Macaca mulatta: one gene and its partners. The protein of the gene in region 2 interacts with the protein of the main gene of each other region in a pairwise test. Links are inferred from orthologs where the notes say so. Each region holds a gene or a part of one and is shown on either strand. Other genes may lie near its edges. The genes, in order: USE1, CREB3, ADTRP, TMEM115, ORMDL1, ALG3 and TM4SF4.

Region 1 (4,152 bases), on a different chromosome or scaffold from region 2:
CTAGCCTTGGTCCCATAGGCTGGGCGTGCCTAGCTTTAACAAATTTATCTATTTGCTTATTTTTGAGATAGAGTCTTTCTCTGTCAACCACGCTGGAGTGCACTGGCACGATCTCAGCTCACTGCAACCTCCCCCTCCCAGCCTCAAGCAATCCTCCTGCCTCAGCCCCCCAAATAGCTGGGACTATAGGTGTGCGTCACCACACCTGGCTAATTTTTTTCCTTTTTTTTTTTTTGAGAGGGAGTCTTGCTGTGTCACCCTGGCTGGAGTGCAGTGGTGTGATCTCAGCTCATTGCAACCTCCACCTCCTGGGTTCAAGCAATTCTCCTGCCTCAGCCTCCTGAGGAGCTGGGACTACAGACAGGCGGCACTGCATCCGGCTAAGTTCTGTATTTTTAGTAGAGACAAGGTTTGGTCATGTTGGCCAGGCTGGTCTCAAACTCCTGACCTCAAGTGATCCACCTGCCTCAGCCTCCCAAATTGCCGGGATTACAGGTGTGAGCCACTGTGCCCGGCAGGAGTGCCTAGCTCTGTTTCCTCTCGGGGTCATTTCCTCTGTCCTGGCTCTTCCTCCACGTGTAATTTGGTTATGTTGCTGTTGGAGTCAGGCTGGGCATGGAGGCCCCAGGGCAGCAAGGATGTATGTCTTGTCCTAGGCAGCTGGCCCTCAAGTCCTGTTGTGTTCATGGTGACTCACCTGCAGAGTCCTGTGGAAAGAAGTAAGTGGCATGAGACTGGGTGCGGTGGCTCACTCCCAGCACTTTGGGAGGCCGAGGTGGGCAGGTCACCTGAGGTCAGGAGTTCGAGACCAGCCTGGCCAACGTAATGAAACCCCATCTTTACTAAAAATACAAAAAATTAGCCAGGTGTGGTAGGGGTGCCTGTGATTCCATGGCTCAGGAGGCTGAGGCAGAAGAATCTCTTGAACCCAGGAGGCGGAGGTTGCAGTAAGCCGAGATCGCCCCACTGCACTCCAGCCTCGGCAACAAGAGTGAATCTCCATCTCAAAAAAAAAAAAAAAAAAGTAAATGCCATGAAGTCACCCCCCTTGTCTTGTTCCCAAACCTGTCCCTTCTGATCTCAACCTTTTCACCTTCAGTCAGGACATGGGGAAATCCCATGACCTCTGAGCCTGTTTCCTCAACTATAAACTGGTAACAACCACTCATATATATATATTTTTTGAGATGGAGTTTTGCTCTTATTGCCCAGGCTGGAGTGCAATGGCTCAATCTTGGCTCACCGCTACCTCTGCCTCCCAGGTTCAAGCGATTCTCCTGCCTCAGCCTCTTGAGTAGCTGGGATTACAGGCATGTGCCACCACGCCCAGCTAATTTTGTATGTTTAGTAAAGACGGGGTTTCTCCATGTTGGTCAGGCTGGTCTCTAACTCGCGACCTCAAATGATCTGCCCGCCTTGGCCTCCAAAGTGCTGGGATTACAGGCGTGAGCTGCCGCGCCCCGCCACAACAACTCATATTTTAAAAGATTGAGCTGATCCACATAAAGTGCTCAGAAAGGAACTTGTCATCTTCTCTTACAGCTGAAGAAACTTTCGTGTCTTGTAAGTTGCAAGCCAGGACTCAAACCCTGCTCTTGGGCCAACTCTGGGGCTTAACCTGACACGTTCCATTTTTGCCTTGTACCAAATTTGCTATTCATCTAGCAAAGCCTTAGCCACAGTGCCCCTCTGTTGGGCGGCCTTGTGTGATGACCCAGGGAAGCGATTGCTGGACCCCCTCAGAGCCCCTGTATCTGACAGTATTGTGGTTCCGGCTGCCTGCAGGCATAGAACCCCCGTCCCTGTCCAAGGGGTTCCCAGGGACCAGGAAAGGAGCCCTACCGTGCCTAGTAGCTCACTCCGCATCTCGCTGGTGTACCGCGCCCGTGACTGCAGATGCACCGTCTTTGTGGCGGGCACTCGCTCTCTGGCTGTGGTTGGCACACGGCCAGGGGCCAGGAACTGGTTGGCCAGTGCTTTCTCTGAGGAGGAGGTCTGCAGAAATGTGGGAAGAGAAGTCACTGGAGGGGCAGGTCCTGGGGACGAAAGTGAGCGGTGATGGGGGCTGAGGGGGAGGGGCACCCCTTCTCACCAGCTTCTCGGCTTGCAGCATCCCCTTCAGAAAATCCACCTTCCAGGAATATTCATTGATCACCTCAGAGGCCGGTTTGCTGGGAGGTAGGAAGAAGAAAAAGAAAGCCTGTCCATGGTCCCCAGCTCAGGGAAGGGTCCCAGCTGGGACAGCGGTACTGGGATGTCCCAGAATAGCCACGTGCTGATGTGAAAGCAGTAAGGCTGCCTGCACTCACCTCGCGTGGACCTTCAGGGCCTGCAACATGTCCTCCAGGGCTCCCACGTACTGGGGAGGAAAAGTGGATTGTCACCCGGGGGTCGTTCCCACGTCCTGCTCATGGGAGTGGGGGGCGGGGCCGACAAATGGGAGGGGTCAAGCGCAAAGGAGGCGGGGCCAGTGGGGGAGGGGCGGAGTCCCAGGGACGGGGGCGGAAGCTACAGGTAGACGTGGCGGGACTGACCGGAAAGGGCGCTGCCCGAGAGGCTACTGGGGCAGGGGAGTCCGGCTAGGTGGCTTCCAACCCTAGGAACCACCCCCCGGGAGTCGGACTCTACGCGGCAGTGCGAGATCCCCTCACCTTCTCCAGGCGCCACTCGTCCGGGTCCCGTTTCTCCGCTGCCATCGCCTCGCAGCGGGATAGTAGCCGCACCAGGTTCAGCTCCAGCCTCGACGCCGCCATTATCGCCCGGCCCTACCCCGCCCCTTCCGCCGGCGCCATGTTAAGAGAGGGCGGAAGTGCCTTCAAGTGGCCTTCCGGGCGGATGTTTCGCCTGCTCCCGTTCGCTGGCCCATCTTTGTTTGGAGCAGAAGTAATACCTTGTTTTGAGGCGGGGCGCTGGGCCGGGCGCGCTGCCTCAGGGCTGTAATGCCAGCATTTTAGGAGGCGGAGTTGGGAAAGGATTGCTTGAAGCCAGGAGTTCGAGGCCAGCCCGGGCAATATAGCGCGACCCTACCTCTATTTAAAAAAAAATAGGAGAGAGGGCCGGGCGCGGTGGCTCAAGCCTGTAATCCCAGCACTTTGGGAGGCCGAGACGGGTGGATCACGAGGTCAGGAGATCGAGACTATCCTGGCTAACACGGTGAAACCCCGTCTCTACTAAAAAATACAAAAAACTAGCCGGGCGAGGTGGCGGGCGCCTGTAGTCCCAGCTACTCGGGAGGCTGAGGCAGGAGAATGGCGTGAACCCGGGAGGCGGAGGTTGCAGTGAGCTGAGATCCGGCCACTGCACTCCAGCCTGGGCGACAGAGCGAGACTCCGTCTCAAAAAAAAAAAAAAAAAAAAAAAATAGGAGAGGCGCCACCCCATTCTTTCTTACTCAGGCGAATCACTTCCTTTTCTTCGAGAGCGTGTTAACCCTTCGGGAATGATAGGACGACCGGGATCTTCGGGTGTCAGACCCCCCTGCACTGTGCCCTCTTGTTCTGTTTTGCTTGCTCGAAGTACCTCCCCCCACCCCACTACTACCTGGATTCTTCCCAGTCGGAGCTGTTTCACCTCCGCGGGCCCTTCCCGATTTCTCTTGTAGGAGGGGCTCTAGCCTGGAATTCAGGAATCCAAGGCTTCCCCCACCTCAGCGGGGCTCATCTGTATTGTGGTTATGAGCTTCCAGGTCACAGCTCCAGCTCTGATTCCATCCCCGGCCCTGGGCGAGTTTAACTTTTCTTGATCCGTTTCTTCCCCCGGGAAATGTACAGTGTGACAGTACCTGCCTCAAGGGTGATATGGGGCAGCTCTGCCTCAGAGTGAGCAAGGTGGGGCTGGGTCCCCCCTAACGCCCAGACCCCCGTGGAGAGAACCCCTTCCCAGCCCACCTCATTACCTGGAAGCTGAGTACCCCTATGCCTGCAGTGCCACGCTTCTGGAGTGAGAGGATGAGGGTGGGGGCTTCACAGGGACCAGGGCCTGGCATGCAGCCCTCATGTTTTCCCATACCTTAGATCATCTGTACCTTGGTCACACCAGTGGGCCTGATGTCCTTGAAAAATACCATAGACGGATGGGCGCAGTGGCTCACGCCTGTAATCCCAGCACTTAGGGAGGCTGAGGCAGGTGATCAACTGAGGTCAGGAGTTTGAGA
Region 2 (2,047 bases):
AAAAGAAGGTGTATGTTGGGGGTTTAGAGAGCAGGTATGAAAGGGAGAGGGACTCAGTTTTAAGTGTTAGGTTTTTGAAGGGAGGACACAGGCCATATCCCCATATCTTTGTTATTTCCCCCAGGGTCTTGAAATACACAGCCCAGAATATGGAGCTTCAGAACAAAGTACAGCTTCTGGAGGAACAGAATTTGTAAGTATCCCTCCAAACCATTCCCTTCCTACGCTCCTCATTTAATGTTTTCTCACTCTTTCCCCTGCCCTACACTTGATTTCTAACAGGGTGGCTGCCTTCACTAGGTCTCTGATTCTAAGAAGCTCACAGTAGTGGGGAATATATTTATAAGTAACTGAGAATAAGCTAAGTACCTAGAAAAAGAAAGGGGGTAAGAAAGACCTCATGGGCTTTCATAGGATTCTGGGGTTGGGTTGGGAAAGCATTCTAGGCAGAGAGAAAGCATCCTAGGCAAGAGGATTAGCCCAGCATAGTCCTCTTGGGCTGGAACACATGTGAGCTGGGACAGAAGGTAGAGAACGTAGAGAATGCCCGGTGAGGATTATGTGCATAGCTGATCAGACAATGGGGAACTACTGATGATATTTGCAAAGGAGGTTAAGTCCTGGAAGAGTTTGTTTTGTTTTGTTTTTGCTTTTTTTGTTTGTTTTAATGAGGAACTTCAGGCATTTTTTCCAGAGTGGAAGAAGTCGTTTGCAAAAATAGAATGAAAAGTAAGAGAGAGGATCCAGTGCAGAGATGGAGGAGGTGGCCTGAACAGGAGTTTCACTGTGTCTCAGGGTGCTAGGCCAGGGGATGCTCACCATTGGCCCCTCTCTTCCTCTAGGTCCCTTCTGCATCAACTGAGGAAACTCCAGGCCATGGTGATTGAGATATCAAACAAAACGAGCAGTAGCAGCACCTGCATCTTGGTGAGGATAGTGATGAGGGGAGAAATTCTTTTCTCAGTTGCTGGGGACAGTTGTGCAATCCAGAGCCCTTCTTCATCTCCTTTTTCCTCTGCTGTAGGTCCTACTAGTCTCCTTCTGCCTCCTCCTTGTACCTGCTATGTACTCCTCTGACACAAGGGGGAGCCTGCCAGCTGAGCATGGAGGTAAGAGGCTTAAGGATAGCTCTCAGACATGGGCAAGGGGAGAGGCCTGGGTTGGCCTCTGAAGATTCTTTGTCTCCTCAGTGTTGTCCCGCCAGCTTCGTGCCCTCCCCAGTGAGAACCCTTACCAGCTGGAGTTGCCTGCCCTGCAGTCAGAGGTGCCAAAAGACTGCACACACCAGTGGCTGGACAGCTCAGACCACGTACTCCAGGCCCCTGGCAACTCTTCCTGCCTACTGTACTACATGCCTCAGGCTCCCAGTGCAGAGCCTCCCCTGGAGTGGCCATTCCCTGACCTCTTCTCAGAGCCTCTCTGCCGAGGTCCCATCCTCCCCCTGCAGGCAAATCTCACAAGGAAGGGGGGATGGCTTCCTACCGGTAGCCCCTCTGTCATCTTGCAGGACAGATACTCAGGCTAGATATGAGGATATGTGGGGGGGGTCTCAGCAAGAGCTTGTGGGGCTCCCCATCTGTGTCCAAATAAAAAGGGGTGGGCGAGGGCTGGCTGCAGCTCCTATGCCCTATCAGGAGGACTGAGGGCTCAAACACACCACACTTACTGGCTTTCTGGGTCTTTTATTTGTACCCATGTGTCTCACCCCATGAATGTACCTGGGGAAATCAACTGACCTCCCTGAACATTTCATGCAGTGAGGGAACGGGTGAGGAAAGAAATAAATAAGTGATTCTAATGCTGCCTAGGTCACCCTCAACCCCCATTTACTGGCACAACTGGGTGGGGAGAAGGGAAGGGGTATGATTGTCCTGATGGCTCAGGGTTGCAGAAGGTTCAGAGGGGAAGGAGGAAAGGCCAGGCTGGAGGCTGGGCTATTAGTGCTTTCCTCCCACAGTTCAGACGGTTCACTCTGGGCTCACGTTTGCCATGGCTTCCTTTGGTCCAAACATAGGCCCTGTCCTTAGTCCTGTGCCCTGTTCGACTT
Region 3 (4,099 bases), on a different chromosome or scaffold from region 2:
GAAACAGCTTGCCTCTGCCTTCCTCAAAAAATGAAATTCTCTCTTTCTTAGGACTGGCATGTTTCTTTAGGATATGGATTCCCAACTTTGCCCTCCTGGCTCGGCCCCTCTATGAAGCAGCCAGAGGCCCTCTCAATGAACCCCTAAGCCCCACACACAACATATTTCCCAATTTTCGTAGACTCCAAACTGCTCTCATCACTGCACCTGCCCTGTCCTTACCAGATGTCTCCCAACCCTTCATTCTCTATACTGCTGAAAACCAAGGAATAGCTCTCGGGGTCTTAGGGCAACAGAAGCGAAGTCCTTCTTCCTTTGCCGCTGTGGCATATCTCCCTAAACAGTTAGACAACACTGTCAGAGGGTGGCCAACATGTCTTAGAGCATTAGCAGCAGCAGCTGTTTTAGCTCTGGAAAGTAAAAAACTAACATTCTGCCAAAGCACCACCGTCCACAGCTCTCACAACTTACAGGATCTTCTCTCCTCCCGGGCGTTGAGCTCCCTCTCTCCTTCCCGAATTCAGTCACTCCATGCCCTCTTTATCTAAAATCCCAAATTCAGCCTTGCCAAAAGAGCCCCCCTCAAGCCGGCATCGCTAGTTCCAATATCCTCTTCCCCTCTTATTCATTCTTGCACTGACATTCTGGATCACCTGCAGCCACACTTCCCTAACGTCTCCTCTGAGCCTCTCACTAACCCAGATGACCAACTATTCGCAGACGGTTCATCTTCCGGAGCCCCTGGCTCTCCCAAAATTGCTGGGTATGCAGTAGTTACCTTAAACCATGTAATTGAGGCTAAATTCCTACTCCCAAGGAACCTCCTCCCAGAAGGCAGAACTCATAGCTCTCACCAGAGCCCTAACCCTCTCCAAAGACAAACAGGTCAACATATACACAGACTCCAAGTATGCCGATCACATTCTTCATTCCCATGCCACCATCTGGCAAGAGACAGGATTCCTTATCGCCAAAAGAACCCCCACTACTAACGGCCCCTTATTTACCAACTCCTTCAGGCCGCACACCTCCCCACGGAAGCAGGAGTCATACACTGTGGAGGACATCAAGCAGGATCAGATGAAATCTCAAAAGGAAATAGGAAGGCTGATGAGGCAGCAAAACAGGGCTCCCTTTCTCCTCTCCCTGCGCCCATCCTCCTTGTCACCCCAGCAGTCCCACCCAAATACCCTCCCACCGAAAAGGCTTCGATACTACAGCAAGGAACCTCCCTTCAAGGGGACTAGATAACCAAACATCAAAAGCTCGTTCTTCCCCAAGAGCAAAGCAAGGAAATTCTAACATCTCTTCACCAGTCCTTCCATATTGGTGCACACCCTCTGTGCCTACCCCTTCGCCCTTATTTCTCCTCCCCCCATCTATTCATCTCACTAAAGGACATAACCTCAAACTGTCATATATTCCTCCCAAGGGGCCATCTGCCCTCTCCTCATCCCTACACACCAGCTCAGAGGAACACTCCCAGGGGAGCACTGGCAAGTCAACTTCACCCACATGCCTCCTGTCAAAAAAACTAAATACCCTCTTACCCTCGTAGACACTTTTTCAGGTTGAGTAGAAGCATTTCCTACCCTTCAGAAAAAGCTGCAGAAGTCTCCCAAATTCTCATAACAGAAATCATCCCTAGATTTGGTCTCCCTCGCTCCATACATTCAGACAATGGGCCTAGCTTCATCTCCCAAATTACCCAACAAGTCTCCCAATCCCTTGGTGTTCAGTGGTGCCTCCATATCCCATACCAGCCCCAGTCATCTGGAAAAGTCGAGGGGGCAAATGGAATTCTCAAAACTCAGTTAACCAAACTCACACCTGAAGTCAAAAAACCTTGGACCTCCCTTTTACCTATAGCACTGGCTCACATCAGAGCCAGTCCAAAAGTTCCCTCCTTCCACAGTCCATTTGAGTTAATGTATGGATGCCCTTTCCTCTTACAAAACAGACCCCCTCCTAACTCTCAATTAGGAGAGTACCTCCCAACACTCTCCTTCATTTGTCATATTCTCCATGAACAAGCTGAGCAGGCCTTCCCAAAACCCCACCAAGGCCCCACCGACCAAACACTCCTTCCAGGAGAATATGTCTTTCTAAAAACTCTTACTCCAACGAGTCTCAAACCGAAGAGGGGAAGGCCCTTCCTTCTCACTACCCCCATCGCAGCCAAACTTTCAGGACACAACTTTTGGTACCATCTTTCCAGCTTAAAAAGGGTCCCTGGAGCTGACCCGCCACCAACTAACCAACCAGCTGTTCCTTGCAAATACTCCAGCACCCTTCTCAGACCAACTCGACTCCGTCTAACACCCATCCCAGAAGACCCCACTCTTCCCCCATGAACCATAACAGATAAGTTGTCACCCCTTACCATTAAGTATCTAAACCCTTATTAATGGAAATCATCCATTACGCTGCCCTTGCAGGAATCACCCTACTTACTCTACTCTTTGCCATAGGACTATATACTGTCTTGCCTCCTGGGTGGAGTTTCAAACAAAAAATCTCAATATCCGTAACCTTTTGCCTCATAATCCTGCTTAGAGCAGGTGTAACAGCCACCAACAAATAGTTGCCCCTCCCTAATGTCCTGTCTTTGCCCGTCCTGCCGTTTCACCCTCTTCCTTCACTGCATCACAGAAAACATCTCATTGTCCTACGCAGAACATCCCACCCTCACGGCATTCCTGGATTGGATCACCGATCTTCTATTTCAAGGGGATTTACAGGAATTTACTCCAGATGAAGCCGAACTCTTTACCTTTACACTTGCTCTCTGTCTATCTACTCCTTCTCCCCTCCTCCTTCTCACTACCACTCCACCTTCAGCGCACCATTCAACAGGCACATACGATACTCAATCAAACTAACCCCTCCCTGGCCAAGGCCTGCTGGTTGTGTACACACCTCAGAAACCACATCAAAGGATGCCTTCCCAGTTCCCCTCAAACACTGGGTTCTCACCAGTATAACCCTCCACCCCCGCTACCAAAGTTTCAGAGGAGTAAATGCACTCAAAGGTCACAAACTCAATCTTCCCGCACATACTTCAAAACACAAGGTTATCTTAGGAGCACTTACTAAAACTCAGCCAACACGAATCCCTATGCATAAAACGCGAACTTTCCTCAGGAGTCCCCCTAGGCACCCTCTCCTCTAGCTTATGCAACTGTAGCCTAACACTCACTCCTCCAACAGGCATCCGAACAACAGTAACAAACTCCACACAAGTTCTCAAACTTTCCAACCCCCCTCAGACCCAAGTCACGGGAAAAACATCAGGATTCTGCAATAACCGACACAGGCCCTGCTCAGAAATCGCAGGGTGGAGCGCTTGTCTAGACCCCGTCCCCACTTCCGAATGCATGGAAATCCCACTGCCTAACACACCCTCAAACGAACTACTTATTAACACAAAACTCTTCTTTCTACACTTAGAAAACTCAGCAGTAGGAGCCAGCCAGCTCACCTCAACACACCCTCTTCAACCCCTAACCAAGTGGCTCTAGCCTCCTCCCTCCACACCTGCCGCTCAGAGAACAACCTTTTACACTCCCTTTTTTCCACACATTTCCAATTCAGCCTCCCTAGCCAAGGTGTATTCTTTCTATGCAGCACCTCCACCTACCTCTGTCTCCCGACCAACTGGACAGGCACCTGTACACTGGTCTTCCTCAGCCCTAAAACAGGAATAGCTCCAGAAGGAAACCTGCCCCTCCAAACCCTAAATACTCAACTCTGACACCACAGGTGCCGGGTCATATAGCTTATCCCACTACTCGTAGGCCTAGGCATCACAGTGGCTGCAGGCACAGGAGTAGCAGGAATCACAACCTCCTCTTATCACCATAAAACCTTATCAAAAGGCCTTTCAGATGGTATAGATGACCTTGCAACTTCCATATCCACCTTACAAGCTCAGCTAGACTCCCTAGCGGCAGTCGTCTTACAAAACCACAGAGGTCTCAACCTACTGACCGCTGACAAAGGAGGACTCTGCATTTTCCTAGACGAAGAATGCTGCTTTTATTTTAACCAGTCAGGCTTAGCTCAGGATGCAGTAAAAAAAAACTCAAAGATCGAGCCC
Region 4 (4,158 bases), on a different chromosome or scaffold from region 2:
AGGAAACCCTGCCTCCCTCTCCTGGTAGCCCTTTGGAGTAGGGCGTGGCCATGCAGTCAGACGTCAAAGTGGCTGGAGGAATAATCCCCACCCCCATGTAAGCTAACAACCATAAGGCTATGCCAAGAACCCGCCTCTTGACCCTCCCTTCCTCCCCACCAACCTGCTTCCCCCCCATCCATTTTCTTGGGCCTGGGCAGAGGTTTTTGAATGTCCAGCCAACCCTAATAATCCAACACCTCTCTGTGGAGGAGGGGTCCCCACTGGCCTGGCGCCACCTGAATAGCTCTGGGGGACAGTTCAATTCCTACCAGGCCCAGCTCTCCTGGCCCCAACTTTAATACCAGCTAAGGTTAAGAGAGACTCCTGTCCTTAAGGCTTATCACCTATAAAGACCCAAGCTCTAGAGCCCAGAATTATGCTCTACAGCATGCTGTATATACTTTTCAACACCTACCACACCTTGGGCCCATAGTGATCTGTGGCCCTTCCCCAGCTGGAACTCCTTCAAGAAAGGAATGTGTCCCACACTCAATTCCACAGCCCAGTGGAGAGTAAATACAGGGATAACTGCAGCTAAATTCATAGAGCTTTCTGCCACGACCCCATTCACAGGTGAGCAAAAGCAGGAGCCTTGGCAATGCAAAGGACAAAGCCCGCCCCAGATTTTACTACTGAAGTAATTGCCTCAAAACACTCAATAATAATGTTGGAAATGGAGCTGTGGATCTTGTGAAAGCTGGGACCACTTTGCTGGCTCCACAGATCTGGGGGAGAGAGAGAGAGCTGAATTTAAAAAGACCCCTCCTGCCCTGGCCAAAGTGCATTTAGTGAAGAATTCAGCTGGGACTCCTGATGCTGTGGATGGCTTGGTTTATAGATAATGAAAGGGTCATCGCCACTCCCTGGTGTAGTCAGCAGGCTCCCTCAGTGGGTCATGTAGCCTGTGTCTGGTTTTGGTGACACATGCCTGCTGGAGACGGAGGTAAATGTGGCAATACCCCAAGCTTCCCTCTCGATAAATAAGTGGCAGAGAAGCACAGCATCTGAGTTAAAGCCCAGGAAGAGGACATAGCATTTGGAAACCGGAGTGGCCCAGATCACCTTTCGAGGACCCCAGGCCTCCTTCCCTTTCCCTTCCTCACAGGGAAAGTACCAGCAGGTTGCTTCTGGCTCCCAGGCCCAATGTCTAGGATTCTGAGATTCTGAGGCAAGGCCAGGGTTCTGTGTGCCTCCACTGGGCATTCACAGCACCAAAGGAAACTGCATTTCTTGAGACTTATTAGGTGGCCACAGTGGTGAGGAAAGTGCCTCGTGGACCCCAGACACCTAACTGCTGAGTTCCTCAAGGCCAAAGACTGATTTTATTTTTCCAGATCTGCCCCAACACCTGACTGTAGGTCTCCACCTATGTACGGCAAACACCTCAACAGATGGTATGTGACTCGACCAGTATGCTCCTAGCTTGACAAGATTTTGGAAAATTTCACAGTACCTTCTCCGCTCCGCGTCTTGAGGGTCTGTGCCTGGCAGGCTGATGGTGATGGAGGATGGGGCACCCACATCGTAGCGCTTCACCGTCTTCTGGCATATCTTTACCTTCACCAGAAGGCCGTGCACCAAGTTCGCCAGCAACCCCACCACAGGCTGCAGGATCTCAGGGAAGAAAGTGGCGAAAGCAAAATGGTCAGCCATGTCCCCTCGGCCCCGGCTGTGGCGCTGGTAGAAGCGAAGATACACCCAACTGGAGAGCAATCCGAAGCCATAGGAAGCCAGTGCTGGGCTCTGGAGCAGTGTGGCGAGCCGCAGCAGGAGCAGCAGTGCCAGCAGCAGCATGGGCATCACACTGACGCGCACCTGGGGCACTCGCAGGACCACACAGTCCCCCATGGTTTGCTTGAGTGCCACCAGGACACCACCTAGGAAGCCCAAGGCGCCGTGGATACGGACAGTGAACAAGTAGACCAGGTTGAAGGAAGCCATGTAGGTGAGGAGGTAGGCGAAGGCCCCCAGCAGCCCTACAGACACATTCACCACTGAGAAGAAGATGAGCAGCTCCAAGGCCCCCCAGAGGGGCTCCAGCAAACGCCCAGCCACCACCACCGTGGTCAGGCTGATGGCCACGTCCCACACATGCTGCTCCATCAGCCCATGGGTGGCCAGGGTCCAGATCCAGAAGTTGGGGGGAAAGAGGTAGCCCGGGGTGACCGCCAGGCAGCCTGTGTCCACGGCGAAGGAGAGCAGGTAGAGGAATAGTACCGCTGCACACAGAGCCTTCACCACCACGCTGGCGCTGGCCAGGATGGCCCCCAAGTGCTGGCGGGCGCCTGGCAGGGCACGTTGCATCTTCCCGGCGGCTGTAGACCTGAGGAAAGGGTCTGGTAGGCCAGGGGCCTCCCCGGGGCCTCGTCCCAGTCCGGCCCCGATGGGAGGCCCAGGCCCGGCCTAGTCACTGGCCTATGGCCCTGGTAAAGGATCCGCTTCCGATCGGGTGGGGTTCTGGTCCCGAGGGGCCGAGTCGGGCCTTGTCGCCGGGCCGCAGTGTAGGTCCCTCGCCCGGGACCTGAGGGAAGGCCCTGGACGGCTTCGGCACGCCCGCCTGCCCACCCTGTAGGCCCCGTGCCAGGCTAGCCTGGCTGGCGTTGATCTCAGGGCTGGGCCTCCTCCATCCACTCCGAGGCCCTTCGGTTCGCAAGGGGGCTGATGCCTAGTTCCGTACCCGAGTCAAGCCTGGTCAGCTCCCGCTGGGCCTGGCTCCTGGCTTCGACCGTACCTCTTTCTCGGGGGGCCGACAAACAGGGGTGCTGCGCCTGCGCGCCCCCGGCGGCAGCGGGCTGTTCTCTAAGCGCCTGTGTTCCGGCTCCTCTGCATGCTGGGATACGGAGTCCTTGGTTGCAGCCGGGGAAGAGTGGAACAGGGTTCTGGCTAGAACTACAAGTCCCAGGAGGCCATGCGCACGGATCGGTCCCGTCGTGGTGAGAGGGGACTGTGCTGGGACTTGTAGTTCTCAGGGACCGTTTCCGTCGGTTCTCAGGAGGTGGGAAGGGATGAATTAGCATCTCTAACCCCTGAAAGCGGCGGTGGGGGTTCGGGAAGCAACACAGCTCTAGCGCCCACACTTGCTGAATTCCCTGGGAAGAGTAGCTCTATTTGTGCATGTACCTCTGAGCGAGTGTGTCCTTGTCTGCTGGCGTGTGGGTGTGTGTCACTGTGTGAGAAACAGAACCTCCGTGGTCTGTTGAATGGCACCTGACCCAGGCTGGAACCCTTGCTCTGCCTTGGCGGCTGTGTGGCATTGGTTAAGTTCCTGAACCTTTTTGAAACTCAGTTTCATGGACCGTAAAATATAGATGATGACATGATCTTCCTGTCCTAATAAGTGGAAAGGGGTGTAAAATGCCAGTCCACCCTGGGTACTCAGCGAGTGTTGCCCATGTTGCCTTTGTTTGGTTTCTCCCACTTGGAAACATTTTTTGTTATTTCACGTTGCCTTTTTTCCAAGTGAGGTGGGCCTGGAGCACGAACCTAGGACTCCCTCCCGCACACGGACGAGGCTGGGCTGCCCTCAGTGACCCTCCTCCCCACTAGAGACTTCTGATCACTGCGGAGGAAGAGAGGTCTCTCCACAAGCCTGGGCCAGAAGTGTTCTGGCCCCACTTCACGCCACAGTGGCTTCTGACAGTGGTTGTGTTCTGTGTCTTTTTTTTTTTTTGTATATTGAGTTACTTAAAAAAAAAACTGTACATATAGGCTGGACATGGTGGCTCATGCCTGTAATCCCAGCACTTTGGGAGGCCAAGGCGGGCGGATCACCTGAGGTCGGGAGTTCGAGACCAGCCTGACCAACATGGATAAACCCCGTCTCTACTAAAAATACAAAATTAGCCAGGCATGGTGGCACATGCCTGTAATCCCAGCTACTCGGGAAGCTGAGGCAGGAGAATCGCTTGAACCCGAGAGGCGGAGGTTGTGGTGAGCCGAGATCGTGCCATTGCACTCCAGCCTGGGCAACAAGAGTGAAACTTTGTCTCAAAACAAAAAGCTGTACATATAATTAAAACAATTTTTGACAAAGTACTTTTATAAAGCACAGAATCCGTTCCTTTCAGCCACTGATTTCAGTGTGTGCCGAAGTGTGCATGGCCTACAGGTTACAAA
Region 5 (4,045 bases), on a different chromosome or scaffold from region 2:
TCTGTCTGTTCCTCCTGACTCAGAGTTCTTTGAGGACAGGGGTTTTATTTTATATCAATCACACATTCCTAGCATAGCCCCTGGAATATAGCACTCTATACCATATGTGTACCAAATGAATGCTTTTGAAAAAGTGGAATGGTTTATATCGGGCTTACAAATCACAGCAAAGAATGTCTGGGAATATCAGGATAGTCAGTCTTCCATATTTACTGAGAGGGAAAAGGAACACTTCTGAAGGAATGTTGATGACCCGGAAAGTCAGTTAAGGACAACAAGTCTGCCTGAAAAAAGAAGTAAAGATCAGAGAAGTCACAGACTTTCATTAGAGAGAACACAAAGAAATCATTTATTTAAAGATCCGACTAAATCCAAAACAAGTTCACAAAGCCAACAGAAATTCAAGATACATAGACATACACAGCGAACATTCTCAAGTCAATTTCAAAATGTTGAAAGCTATTTAGGCAATAAAGATCACAAACTTTCCGCACTGCCAAGGTGAGGGAAATTACATTTCAAAGGCGATTCCAAAAAATCTAATCAAGACTTTCCTCAGGATCAGTTTTTGGTATCCACATTTCCTCAGTATGTGTAATACAGGTGCCTGTCTTGGGCGTACGGATAAACCCAGAAGGCCACGAGCAAACATCGTGATTAACTTTAAAGAGTTTAACTTGCACCCCTTGTATGATGCCACAGGATAGAATACTATAAACCGCCAACCTCACAAGATGAGTTACAGTTGCCATGGGTTAAATTTGCTGCCTGGAAAACAAATTTTAAGTCCTGCACCCAGAAGGGTCTGGGAATGGGCCGCAACAAAGACCAAGCCAGAACACCCCGAGCCCAGATCAGCTCAGAGAACGCGCTCCACGTGTACGCGCCTGCAAGCCCGGCTTCGCTTCCCGCCCGCGGGGAGCGCCCTTAGCTGCACTACAGCGTTCGCGCCCGGACCAGGACGAGTAAAGGAGATGGGGGCCCTCAAGCCCTCGAGAATATAATAAATACCCGTTAGTCATACCACACTACCTTCCTGCTAGCGCGAGGCAGGCAATTACCATCCACCAGCGGCAAGCAGCCAGCGTCTCACCCGGAGCGCAGGCCCGACCCCGCACTCGCACCCAGCATGCGCGCGGCACAGCGGATACAAGGAGCGCGGCACTTAGTCCCGTCTCGCCCGGGGGGAACGTAAGATTGGCGCTGCTCGCAGCCAATCCGCTGGCAGCGAGTCTGTCTGTGAACGCTTCCGCAAGCTACGCAGCGCCCGGCCTGAGGGCGTGTATCCGCGGCCGTAGCAGCCCGGCTGGTCCTGCTGCGAGCCGGCGGCCGGGAGTGGGGCGGCGGGTAAGTGGGCACGAACACGACGGACGCTGTACAGTCTCCTTCGTCCGTAGGGAACTGCTGGCGGCCTAGGGTCGTCCTGAGAGGGAAAAGTGAGGTCCGGCTGCATCTGCGGCGCCCTGCGTGGCCGTGCGAGCCGTGGCCTCAGAGGCTCGTCCCCTACGCAAATCTTCGCTGTCTTGCCAGGGTCCTGACGTGACGTGCGGCTGCGAGAAGGCAGGGGCGGGTTGGGGGAGGTGCTGAGGTGGTAGCAGCGGCGGCCTTTGCTGCGTTTTCTCTGTCCCAGAGGGCTCAGGCAGGGGGAACTCCCTTGAGGGGCCGCTGCGGGTCGCCGTCTCCGGAGGCACCGGCGAGGGCAGAGCCGACGGCCTCTTCACGGTCTGTAAGGTCATTGTTTACCAGTCGCGGGGCAGCGCGGCAAACCTGCTGGGGAAAGGTTTTCTGGTTGGAATAGGATGAGTACCGCACCAGCTTTGCCTTCCAGCTGAGATGTAAATTTCAGGCCTCCATCCTGTGGAACGTGGGAAAACTATCTTGAGTGTTGGCATGTTCTAAGTAGTTTAAAATAATGTATGATAAATGATGTGTGTTTAGACGAAGGATTTACACATACAAATTGGAGACTCTCGCGGTCTTAGTGTAACTAACTTTTCGTCCCCTTAACCCTTGATGCCTGTTCTGTGCGTCTCTAGAGGGGAAGGAGCATTATACTCTGGAAGCACTTGCTGGATGGGGAAAAGAGAAGTTCCTCTCCGTATGCTAACTCCGTAATACAAGCGTTTGTGTATTTTAAAATCACAACTGTTCCAAATGTAATCTAGCCTCGTTTTCCCCCTCCCTCGGATGATAGGTGTTCTTCAGGACAGTTTTATTTTAAGGAATTCTTAGACCCAAGTAAACACCATCATTAAAAGAACTGGTAACTATTATCAGTTCTTCCTTTGGAGTCCATCTTAAATGGAAAGGAGATGGGAAAAACTTTTTTAAAGAGAAGAAAGAAAACTGAAGTTTTTTAATTGACTAGAGAAATATTCAGAAGACTCTTTATTTTCACCTAGATGTATCACAAAATTGAGAAACAAACATTATCCCTTGACCATGTAGATTTTACACCACATTATGTCAACGGCATGTACCTTCCACATTCAGTATTCAGAAAGAAGTGATCTGAACTCTGACTATTCTTTATGGATACAGTAAGTCAGATATAAGAGTGGCTACTTGACAGACTGGCTGGGTGAGTTCTGCTTTTTCTTTTTAATATAAATTTATTATGTTGGTAAATTTAGCTTTTGGCTTTTCACGTTGCTCTCATGATATAAGAAAATGTAGGTTATCTCTTTCAGTTTGAATTTTCCTATTTAGTAAAACAGCATGCTAGAAAACAAACTTTAGGAAAGGCATTTTAACTACTTTTTAAATTAGAACCATGATAATAAGTCTTGTCTTACCATAAAGTCAGATGTTGACGATTCTTCACTGCTGTCAGCAGCATCTCTACAAGTAGCATATTTTGGATGGTGTTTGTGTGCTACCTCAAGATAACTAGGAAAAAATAATCATCCTGACACATGTACCTTGTCATGTCAGAATTGGGGGTGTTTAGGTTGCCAGTTATATCAGTGTTGATTCATTTTATTACTTTCCTATAGAGCAAACATGAATGTTGGAGTTGCCCACAGTGAAGTGAATCCAAATACCCGTGTCATGAACAGCCGGGGTATGTGGCTAACATATGCATTGGGAGTTGGCTTGCTTCATATTGTCTTACTCAGCATTCCCTTCTTCAGTGTTCCTGTTGCTTGGACTTTAACAAATATTATACATAATCTGGTAAGAATTTCACATTATACTAAACACTTAAAAGTTTTAGGTTTAGTGGTTGCCAGAAATTAAGGGGCGGAAGGAATGGAGGGTTATTGCTTAATGGGTACAGAGTTTTTAGTTTTGCAAGATGAAGAGAGTTGTGGATGTCGATGGTAATGGTGATGATTGCACAACAATATGAATGTTTTTAATACCACTCAATTATACATTTAAAATCGCAGCACTTCGGGAGGCCAGGGCGGGTGGATCACAAGGTCAGGAGTTCAAGACCAGCCTTGCCAACATGGTGAAACCTTATCTCTACTAAAAACACAAAAATTAGCTGGGCGGGGCAGCACATGCCTGTAGTCCCGGCTACTCTGGAGGCTGAGGCAGGAGAATCCCTTGAACCTGGGAGGCAGAGGTTGCAGTAAGCCAAGATTATGTCACTGTACTCCAGCCTGGGTGACAAAGTGAGACTTTGTCTCAAAGGAAAAAAGCATCTAAGATGGTAAACTTTATGACGTGTGTTTAAACACAGTTTTTAAAAAAGCTTAAGGTTTTGTGATATGTACAACTTAGTTTTTTTAACAGCTTTTTTTGAGATATAATTCACATGCAATAAAATCCACCCATTTAAAGTGTATAGTTTAGTGGTTTTTAGTATATAAGACTTAATTTTGAAGAATTCTAATCTGGGATAGAATTTTCTTTTTTCTTTCACACTTTATTTCAAAACTGGGCCTTTTTCTAAGTAAGACTTTTTTTTTCTCATTGTATAAAATCTAGAAAATAGATCATTTTGGTTTCAATCCTTGTTAACTTATCTATCTAAATTGTATAAGTATTCTTTACTGTTTCAGTATTTAAGTGTTGAACTTAATCATATCTTATG
Region 6 (3,955 bases), on a different chromosome or scaffold from region 2:
ACAGACTTTCAGCCAATTCCCAGGGCTTCACTACCTCTTAATCTAACTCTTTATCTGACATTCTCTGGGTGAGCCCAGGCATCTCAAACTCAACATTTCTGTAAGTGAACTCGTGATCTTTCCTCCCACTCCAATCTACTCCCCTTCCTGGGTTCCACAGATGTCACCACTGACCTCTTAGCTACCAGGTCACGAACCTGAGTAATATCTTTGATACTCCCTCCTCTCTCATTTCCAACCCTTCATCACCAAGTTCTGCCTGCTCCTCACCATAAATATTTCTATCTCATCCTTCTCTGCTACTACATACTTGGAGCCTAAAGTAATCTCTAGCCCCAGTGATTATATAATAGCCTGCTAATTAGGCCCCTGACTTCTACTTTTACCCTACTACGATGTATTTTCCACCTTGTACACCAAAGAGTTCTTCCTGAAATACAAATCATAACAGGCCTCTGCTTAAAACCTCTCAATGATTTCCCAAGACCCTTAAGATAAAGAAAACTCTGTATTATTCCCCTTTTTAGAAAGGGAGCTTAAGAATTAATTAGGTTAAGTGACTGGCTTAAGATAATTGAGCTAGGATGGTGGAGTTGGGATTGAAGCTTGCAGGGTCCTAGGTTCTTAATTATCATGCTGTCTTCTTAACAAAGCTTTCCAATTTCTTCATGATCTGGTCTCAATTTCTGCATTCCCATCTCTTACTACTCTCTTCACTTGATTTCTATACTCCAGCTCTAAAAAAATTATTTCAGTTCCTCAAAGGAACCAGGCTTTTTTTTTTTTTTTTTTTTTTTTTTTTTTTGAGACAGAGTCTTACTCTGTCACCCAGGCTGGAGTGCAGTGGCACGACCTCAGCTCACTGCAACCTTCGCCTCCTGGGTTCAAGTGATTCTCCTGCCTCGGTCTCTCAAGTAGCTGGGACTACAGGTGTGTGCCACCATGCCTGGGTAATTTTTAAGTTTTGTATTTTTAGTAGAGATGCAGTTTCACCATGTTGGCCAGGCTGGTTTTTGTTGTTGTTGTTGTTTGTTTTCTTTTGAGACAGAGTCTCACTCAGCCACCCAGGATGGAGTGCAGTGGTGCGATCTCAGCTCACCACAACCACTATCTCCCCGGTTCAAGCAATTCTTCCGTCTCAGCCTCCCAAGTAGCTGGGATTACAGACACCTGCCATCATGCCCAGCTAATTTTTCTATTTTAGTAGACACAGGGTTTCACCATGTTGGCCAGGCTGGTCTTGAACTCCTGACCTCAGGTGATCCGCCCGCCTCGGGCTCCCAAAGTGCTTGGATTACAGGCGTAAACCACCGTGCCCAGCCAGGCTGGTCTTTTAACTCCTGGCCCCAAGTGATCCGCCCACCTCAGCCTCCCAAAGTGCTGGGATTACAGGCATGAGCCACCGTGCCCACTCTAACTAGAGAGTTTCTGTTTTTTTTTTTTTTTTTTTTTTTGACACGGAGTCTCACTCTGTCACCCAGGCTGGAGTACAGTGGCACAATCTTGGCTCATTGCAATCTCCGCCTCCCAGGTTCAAGCGATTCTCCTGTCTCAGCCTCCCGAGTAGCTGGGATTACAGGCATGTGCCACCACCCCCGGCTAATTTTTATATTTTTAGTAGAGATGGAGTTTCACCATGTTGGCCAGGCTGGTCTCAAACTCCTGACCTCAGGAGATCACTCACCTAGGCCTACCAAAATGCTGGGATTACAGGCCTGCGCTCCCGCACCCGGCCTAACTGGATATTTTTAATAGAGGATCCTCTGCCCAGAGCACTCCTTCCCCTCACCTTTTCCTTCTTTCCTTAACTAGCTAGTTCCTACCTTCCTTCAAGGGTGGCTCTATGAAGCCTTTGCTGACTCCTCCAATCTGGTTTAAGTGACTTCCTATGCCCTTTATGGCATTCTGTCTTACTACCATGATGAATACGATGCATTATCATTGCCTGCTAACTTATTGTCCAGACCGGAGTTAGAAATGCATCTCTTATTCACCACTGTACCTCTCTCTGGTAATATAGTAAGCACTAAATAAATATTTAGTGCATATAATAAGCACTAAATAAATATTTGTTGAATTAAGAGTCTTTAGCAAGAAAGTCAAGTGCCTTAAGCCTAGAGTATAGTTTCAGCCTGGAAAAGAGTAGCCAATAGTGCCTAATGGACTCAAGTGGTCACAAAATGCCATCATTGAGAAGGGACGTTCAAAGATCACAGAACTGAATACATGGAAAAAGCTGAGATTCAGGAGGAGACCTGAGGTGTCCAAAGCCACAGAGAAAAGCAGCAACAGCAGCAATACAACAATTTTGGCTCAAATCTGACTTCTAAGCTAGTTCGCAGGCTGTAAGTTCAGTGCAGAAGGCCAATCTCTAGGGTATCCACCTCTGCCATGCGGGCAGATTAAGATCCGGTTTCTGTAGAGCAGGCTTGGAGCTCAGGTAAGGGATATGTATGGGTTTGCAATTGATGAGTGAGTGGATACAGAGTCTGGTTTTGAGTTCCAGGTCTGAGATCCAGTTTGGGTCGCGGGTTCAGGTCTCCCTCCCTCCCCTCCCCTCCCCTCCCCCTCGGCGCACTCACATGCCACCCTGTGAATGACCCAGAAGGTGATGCCCACCTCCGCCAGGCAGAGGCAGGCGGCCACCAGCAGCGTGTAGCGCGGCTCCCGCAGCAGCAGGCGCCGCTCTTGCCAGGCGCGCTGCAGCCATTGCTTGCAGAGTCCCGCTGCCTGGGCCGCGGAACCGGACCGTCCGCGTTTCCGCAGCCCAGCGGCCATCTTAACGGTGCACCGCTTGTGTGGGCCCACCACCCGCGGAAACCCGAACCTTCGACACTTAGGTTCCGCTTCCCGCGCCTGGCGTCCCACCAGGCTAAGCGCCGATCCGGGTAGCCAGTCTTCATTTACTCCACTAAAATGTAATTTTTCCTCTACATTTGTCTCCTCTGATGCACTCCACGCTCCATAGGAGCAGGAACAATGTCTTACTCCTCAGTTTATACCCAGCCCTAGGTACACAGGCGCTAATTTAGAACGAATGTCCAGAAAAGCAACATTCCTGCCTACCTCCGCTACAGTCCCTGAAGCCAACATTCTACTTCGCTTACGCTGGGAACATCTGTGTTCATGCTGTCTCTCCAGGAGGGCAAAGCCCCTGTTCGCGCCCCTCCTGCCTCTGCTTAGAGCCTTCCGGATGCTGAGAAAAATGAACCTTTCACTGATTTTCAGACTTCCTAATAAAAGTAATTCACATTGAAAATATGAGAGGACGCAGTGATGAGCCCACGTGAGTCTGACACCATGAATGCAGCTCTAGGAAATGAGTTGGCAATACAGCCGGAGGATTCAGGGTCTGGACGATGGTTTTCCCAGCCGGAGGATTGTTCAAAGAGCGCTTAGTAAAGGACGGAAGTTCCACGTGTTTGTGTTGAGCAACTGCAGGTGGTGGGCGGAGACACCAGGGCCCAGCCTTCTGCATCCTGCCGTCCGTATTGGCTGAAGGGCCGGCGGCTCTGGCAGTCCCCGCGGTTGAGAGCATGGCTTCTCCAGGGGCCGGTAGAGCGCCGCCGGAGTTACCGGAGCGGAACTGCGGGTACCGCGAAGTCCAGTACTGGGATCAGCGCTACCAAGGCGCAGCCGATTCTGCCCCCTACGATTGGTTCGGGGACTTCTCCTCCTTCCGTGCCCTCCTAGAGCCGGAGCTGCGGCCCGAGGACCGTATCCTTGTGTTAGGTGGGTAATCCCGGCGCGGCCCCGCCAGGTAGAGCTGGCAGGACCGGCGCCGCGCGGGCTTGGCCCGGTCCGCTTTCCTCCCGCCTGTCTACCCTCTTGGAGGACGCCTGAGTTGGGACGCGAGATCCAGCTCCTTCAGAGTCCCGGCTGTATTTAGTCAAGGCAAATAGAGTAAGAGATTGTCGGTCCCGGGGCCCTCGGGAGAAAGACACCCCCTCAGGGT
Region 7 (3,500 bases), on a different chromosome or scaffold from region 2:
GGAAAAGAAGATACCAAAATTCATTCTAGAAGACCCCACAGGCCCCATCTACTATAAAGACCAGCTCCTACCCCATAACTTCTTGTAGTCACCATGTTCAACAGCAGGTGGATTAGGTTTGCTGAGTGTATCCTCTGGACCACCTGGAGAATTTGACTGTCTCTCCCCTTCTCTTTCAGATGTTCACCTCTACGATATTTGCTGTGGTTGGATTCTTGGGAGCTGGATACTCGTTTATTGTCTCAGCCATTTCAATCAACAAGGGTCCTAAATGCCTCATGGCCAATAGTACCTGGGGCTACCCCTTCCACGACGGGTAAGACCACACCCTGCAATGCCCACCTGTCACCACAAGGGGCACGGGCAGATAAATTGCCCAAGGGGAGACTGCACACAATGTCATGTCTTCATCCTTATGCAAGTCTCAGGCTCGGTGCTCCTTTGAGGCAGAGCTGGAGTTGTGGAGTACAGCAAAGTTGCATAGAATCTCACTTCGAATTGCTCCTTTGACAGATCCCAGGAGAAATAACTAAAAGAGGATGGATGCCTCCTTTAGCCCGAGGGAAGGAAGAGATTTGTTGTGTCATCACTTGCACCCAAATATTTATTACCAGCAACACAAGGCAACTAATAGTATTAATAAACAGAGTAATAGTTTTCGTTGCAAATCTTATAATAGAAAACAAGAATAATTACTAACTGGGCCCAAGGGCTTTCACTAATACCCCAAATTGCCTATAATTAAACAATCGTTTAAGTGCATGTACAGAAAATGACATTGAAATCATTGTAGGTTTCTCATGTTAATGTTAATAGCCTCATTAAGATAACATTTCATATTATCATGGTACTTTGTAGGCTGTAAAGATCTTTATCCCACAAATTTATAATTTAATCTTCATAGTAACATCAAGAGGTAATTACTCTGTGCCAAGGCAGGTTTAATAAGTTTAACGAGCTTCAAAGTCACATTGTTAGTTGAGGACAGTGCTGGACTCAAACTCAGGACTTCTAACTTCAAGTCTTAGCCTTTCATAGTACACATCTTTCTGTCCTGCACTGACCAGGATGATTTTGACTACTTATGTTTTAATTTAATCCCATGTAAGATGTAAGGCTGCTCTTTGCGCAAGGTACAAAATATGCCATGATGGCTACAGGAAGGGCATTCAGGGGATGGGCCCAGATCTCACTGCACCCTCTCTGCCATCTGGCAAACCTTCAGCAGCATTCTGTTGTCTCCTCAAATCCTGTTTCCTCCCTTCTGAGACAAGAACTCACATTCCTTTTTGATATTATCTACCACTGCCAGCTCCAAATCTTCCCTCTGACTGCGGAAGTTCACCTTGAATTTCTTACGGCAATAATTGAACTTTCTATAGCTTGGTGTTTTCAGTTAACAAAGTGCTGTTACCTACATTGTTTCATTTGCTCCTCACAAAAAGTTTATGAGATTATTTAACTCTCCTTCGGAGGCAGGATAGCCGAGGCCCAGAGAGGACAAGTGACTTGACAAGAGGAATACAGTTTCTTAATGGCGGAAGCTCAAATCCAAGTTTTCTCACTTGAAGTCACAGTGTTTTTTCTAGAACACAATTTATATTGACTCATACTGTCTGCTTTTTGCCTAGATTCCCTGTTGGCAAAACTCATTGGATTCTACCTCCTACTCCTTTTACTATACTGTACTATACTAGTATCTGATAGTTTAAAAGGGTCTGTGGAATCTTCTTATCCAATCAGCATATAGTAACTGTTGTTATAGCTGGAAACCTAACACTCATACACAGCTGCTCAGAGACTAGAAAGGATCAGTCACTTGTATGAGCCAAAACGAGAAAACTTGAGACAGTTGTCATTTGTCCCTTATTACCAAAGGGCAGCTGTGGTGACAACTGCTTCTTCTTGTTCTTGTTCTTCTTCCTCTTCCCTCCCCTCCTTTTCTTCTTTTCCTTCTCTTTTTTCTTTCTCTCCTCTTCTTCCTTTTCCTTCTTCTTTTTCTTCCCAATGATTAAGTGCTAAGTGTTTTTATGTGCATTATCTCACCTAATCTTCCTCATAAATCTGAGAAGAATTTTTATCCCTGAAAGAGAAAAATGAAGCTGAAAAAGGTTAACTTTCCCAGGGCTCAATGGCTAGTAATTAGTAGCAGGATTTTTTTTTTAATTGGCTGGGAGTGGTGGCTCATGCCTGTAATCTCAGCACTTTGGGATGCTGAGGTGGAAGGATTGCTTGAGCCCAGGAGTTCAAGACCAGCTTGGGCAACATAGGGAGAATTCCCCACCCCACCGCCCCTCTACAAAAAAAGAAAAAAAAATTTTTTTTAATTAAAAAATTAGCTCGGCATGGTTGTGCATGCCTGTAGTCCCAGCTACTCCAGGTGCCTGATGTGGGAGGATCTTTTGAGCCCAGGAGGTTGAGGCTGCAGTGAGCCGTAATCATGCCTCTGCATTCTAGCCTGGGCAACAGAGCCAAACCCTGTCTCAAAATATATATATATAATATATACACACACATATACACACACACACACGATTTATATATCTACATATACACATATCTACTTTTATATATAGGTGTATATATACACCTGTGTGTGTGTGTGTATGTGTGTGTGCGTAGTAAGTATCTTATTTTGTGCTGAAGCCTATCCCAAACATGGAACAAAAAATGAATAGACATGGTTCCTGCCCTATCAGCATGTGGGTTAGGGTGAACACATGGAACAGATCGTCATAATGCAGAAAGTGTGAGATGGAGAAGGAGTGTGGGGGAACCTCCTTCGAGAAGGTGACATGGGCTGATTTTGGAGGATGAGCAGAAGTTTGCCTTCCAGTGAGGGAGGAGAAACGCATTTCAGGCATGAAAAGGCTGCCATGCTTAGGGAACATCAGAGCACTGCGTGGCAGAAGCTCAGTGTGAATGAGGAGAGATTTGCAGAAGGGACCGCCACACGATGTGGTGAGACTGAGAGGCAGCCAGACCTTCAGGGCATCAGGGCACAGCAGAGGACTTCAAGCAAGACATGGCATGGCTACTTTGGACTTTTAGAGGCATGGTGGTGCTAGTGATGTGGAAAGTAAATAGGAGGGTTCAGGAACTAAAGAGAGATAAAAGCTGCCGTCATAATCCAGATAAGATGGTGAACATCACCCAGGCAGCAGAATTGGGGCTCAAAAAAGACAAATTTCAGAGAGTGTTTGAAATGGAGTCATCAGGTTTAGGTGTGAGGAGAAAAGGGGAAGCTAATCAAGGTGGACTCTGAGATTTCGAATTTAGTGCACAAAATCCAGGGCTCTGCAATGTCGTAGCATTTAGCACTGTTTTCCTCAGAAATGTTTGTTGATGATAATATTAAGGGAGGGAGCAAAAGTAGTTAACTTGTTCTGTCCTGAGAACCATATTAAAGAAACACCCTAGAAGGAAAAAGAAACTTGGGCATTTTGAAATACACCCTCTTGGCTTCCTTTGAGGTAGAACCTCCTCCCATCCAAGGCCTT

What was found.
Region 1: the proteins of CREB3 (region 2) and USE1 interact in a two-hybrid assay, tested with the Homo sapiens proteins (3 studies listed by BioGRID and IntAct). The link is inferred for Macaca mulatta from reciprocal best matches to the Homo sapiens genes CREB3 and USE1.
Region 3: the proteins of CREB3 (region 2) and ADTRP interact in a two-hybrid assay, tested with the Homo sapiens proteins (2 studies listed by BioGRID and IntAct). The two-hybrid records come from large-scale screens. The link is inferred for Macaca mulatta from reciprocal best matches to the Homo sapiens genes CREB3 and ADTRP.
Region 4: the proteins of CREB3 (region 2) and TMEM115 interact in a two-hybrid assay, tested with the Homo sapiens proteins (2 studies listed by BioGRID and IntAct). The two-hybrid records come from large-scale screens. The link is inferred for Macaca mulatta from reciprocal best matches to the Homo sapiens genes CREB3 and TMEM115.
Region 5: the proteins of CREB3 (region 2) and ORMDL1 interact in a two-hybrid assay, tested with the Homo sapiens proteins (2 studies listed by BioGRID and IntAct). The two-hybrid records come from large-scale screens. The link is inferred for Macaca mulatta from reciprocal best matches to the Homo sapiens genes CREB3 and ORMDL1.
Region 6: the proteins of CREB3 (region 2) and ALG3 interact in binary tests that used the Homo sapiens proteins (3 or more experiments, as listed by UniProt). The link is inferred for Macaca mulatta from reciprocal best matches to the Homo sapiens genes CREB3 and ALG3.
Region 7: the proteins of CREB3 (region 2) and TM4SF4 interact in a two-hybrid assay, tested with the Homo sapiens proteins (2 studies listed by BioGRID and IntAct). The two-hybrid records come from large-scale screens. The link is inferred for Macaca mulatta from reciprocal best matches to the Homo sapiens genes CREB3 and TM4SF4.

The regions. Positions count from the first base shown.
Region 1 is NC_133424.1:17,695,779-17,699,930, reverse strand, and holds the start of USE1 (vesicle transport protein USE1), read right to left. Parts: upstream 2,801-4,152; 5' UTR 2,754-2,800; coding exon 2,652-2,753; intron 2,360-2,651; coding exon 2,310-2,359; intron 2,172-2,309; coding exon 2,093-2,171; intron 1,996-2,092; coding exon 1,843-1,995; intron 708-1,842; coding exon 698-707; intron 1-697.
Region 2 is NC_133420.1:63,959,885-63,961,931, reverse strand, and holds the end of CREB3 (cyclic AMP-responsive element-binding protein 3), read left to right. Parts: coding exon 1-34; intron 35-124; coding exon 125-193; intron 194-842; coding exon 843-927; intron 928-1,024; coding exon 1,025-1,109; intron 1,110-1,190; coding exon 1,191-1,525; 3' UTR 1,526-1,547; downstream 1,548-2,047. Other genes in the region: GBA2 (non-lysosomal glucosylceramidase), read right to left, coding at 1,968-2,047. UniProt on the Homo sapiens protein: Endoplasmic reticulum (ER)-bound sequence-specific transcription factor that directly binds DNA and activates transcription. Plays a role in the unfolded protein response (UPR), promoting cell survival versus ER stress-induced apoptotic cell death.
Region 3 is NC_133409.1:171,335,003-171,339,101, reverse strand, and holds the start of ADTRP (androgen-dependent TFPI-regulating protein), read right to left. Parts: upstream 2,801-4,099; 5' UTR 1-2,800. UniProt on the Homo sapiens protein: Hydrolyzes bioactive fatty-acid esters of hydroxy-fatty acids (FAHFAs), but not other major classes of lipids. Show a preference for FAHFAs with branching distal from the carboxylate head group of the lipids.
Region 4 is NC_133407.1:113,836,767-113,840,924, forward strand, and holds the start of TMEM115 (transmembrane protein 115), read right to left. Parts: upstream 2,801-4,158; 5' UTR 2,347-2,800; coding exon 1,496-2,346; intron 1-1,495. UniProt on the Homo sapiens protein: May play a role in retrograde transport of proteins from the Golgi to the endoplasmic reticulum. May indirectly play a role in protein glycosylation in the Golgi.
Region 5 is NC_133417.1:94,776,624-94,780,668, reverse strand, and holds the start of ORMDL1 (ORM1-like protein 1), read left to right. Parts: upstream 1-1,245; 5' UTR 1,246-1,347; intron 1,348-1,582; exon of another isoform or gene 1,583-1,722; intron 1,723-2,402; exon of another isoform or gene 2,403-2,581; intron 2,582-2,996; 5' UTR 2,997-3,003; coding exon 3,004-3,177; intron 3,178-4,045. UniProt on the Homo sapiens protein: Plays an essential role in the homeostatic regulation of sphingolipid de novo biosynthesis by modulating the activity of the serine palmitoyltransferase (SPT) in response to ceramide levels.
Region 6 is NC_133407.1:96,379,989-96,383,943, forward strand, and holds the start of ALG3 (dol-P-Man:Man(5)GlcNAc(2)-PP-Dol alpha-1,3-mannosyltransferase), read right to left. Parts: upstream 2,801-3,955; 5' UTR 2,779-2,800; coding exon 2,583-2,778; intron 1-2,582. Other genes in the region: EEF1AKMT4 (EEF1A lysine methyltransferase 4), read left to right, coding at 3,537-3,732. UniProt on the Homo sapiens protein: Dol-P-Man:Man(5)GlcNAc(2)-PP-Dol alpha-1,3-mannosyltransferase that operates in the biosynthetic pathway of dolichol-linked oligosaccharides, the glycan precursors employed in protein asparagine (N)-glycosylation.
Region 7 is NC_133407.1:52,489,460-52,492,959, forward strand, and holds part of TM4SF4 (transmembrane 4 L6 family member 4), read left to right. Parts: intron 1-179; coding exon 180-316; intron 317-3,500. UniProt on the Homo sapiens protein: Regulates the adhesive and proliferative status of intestinal epithelial cells. Can mediate density-dependent cell proliferation.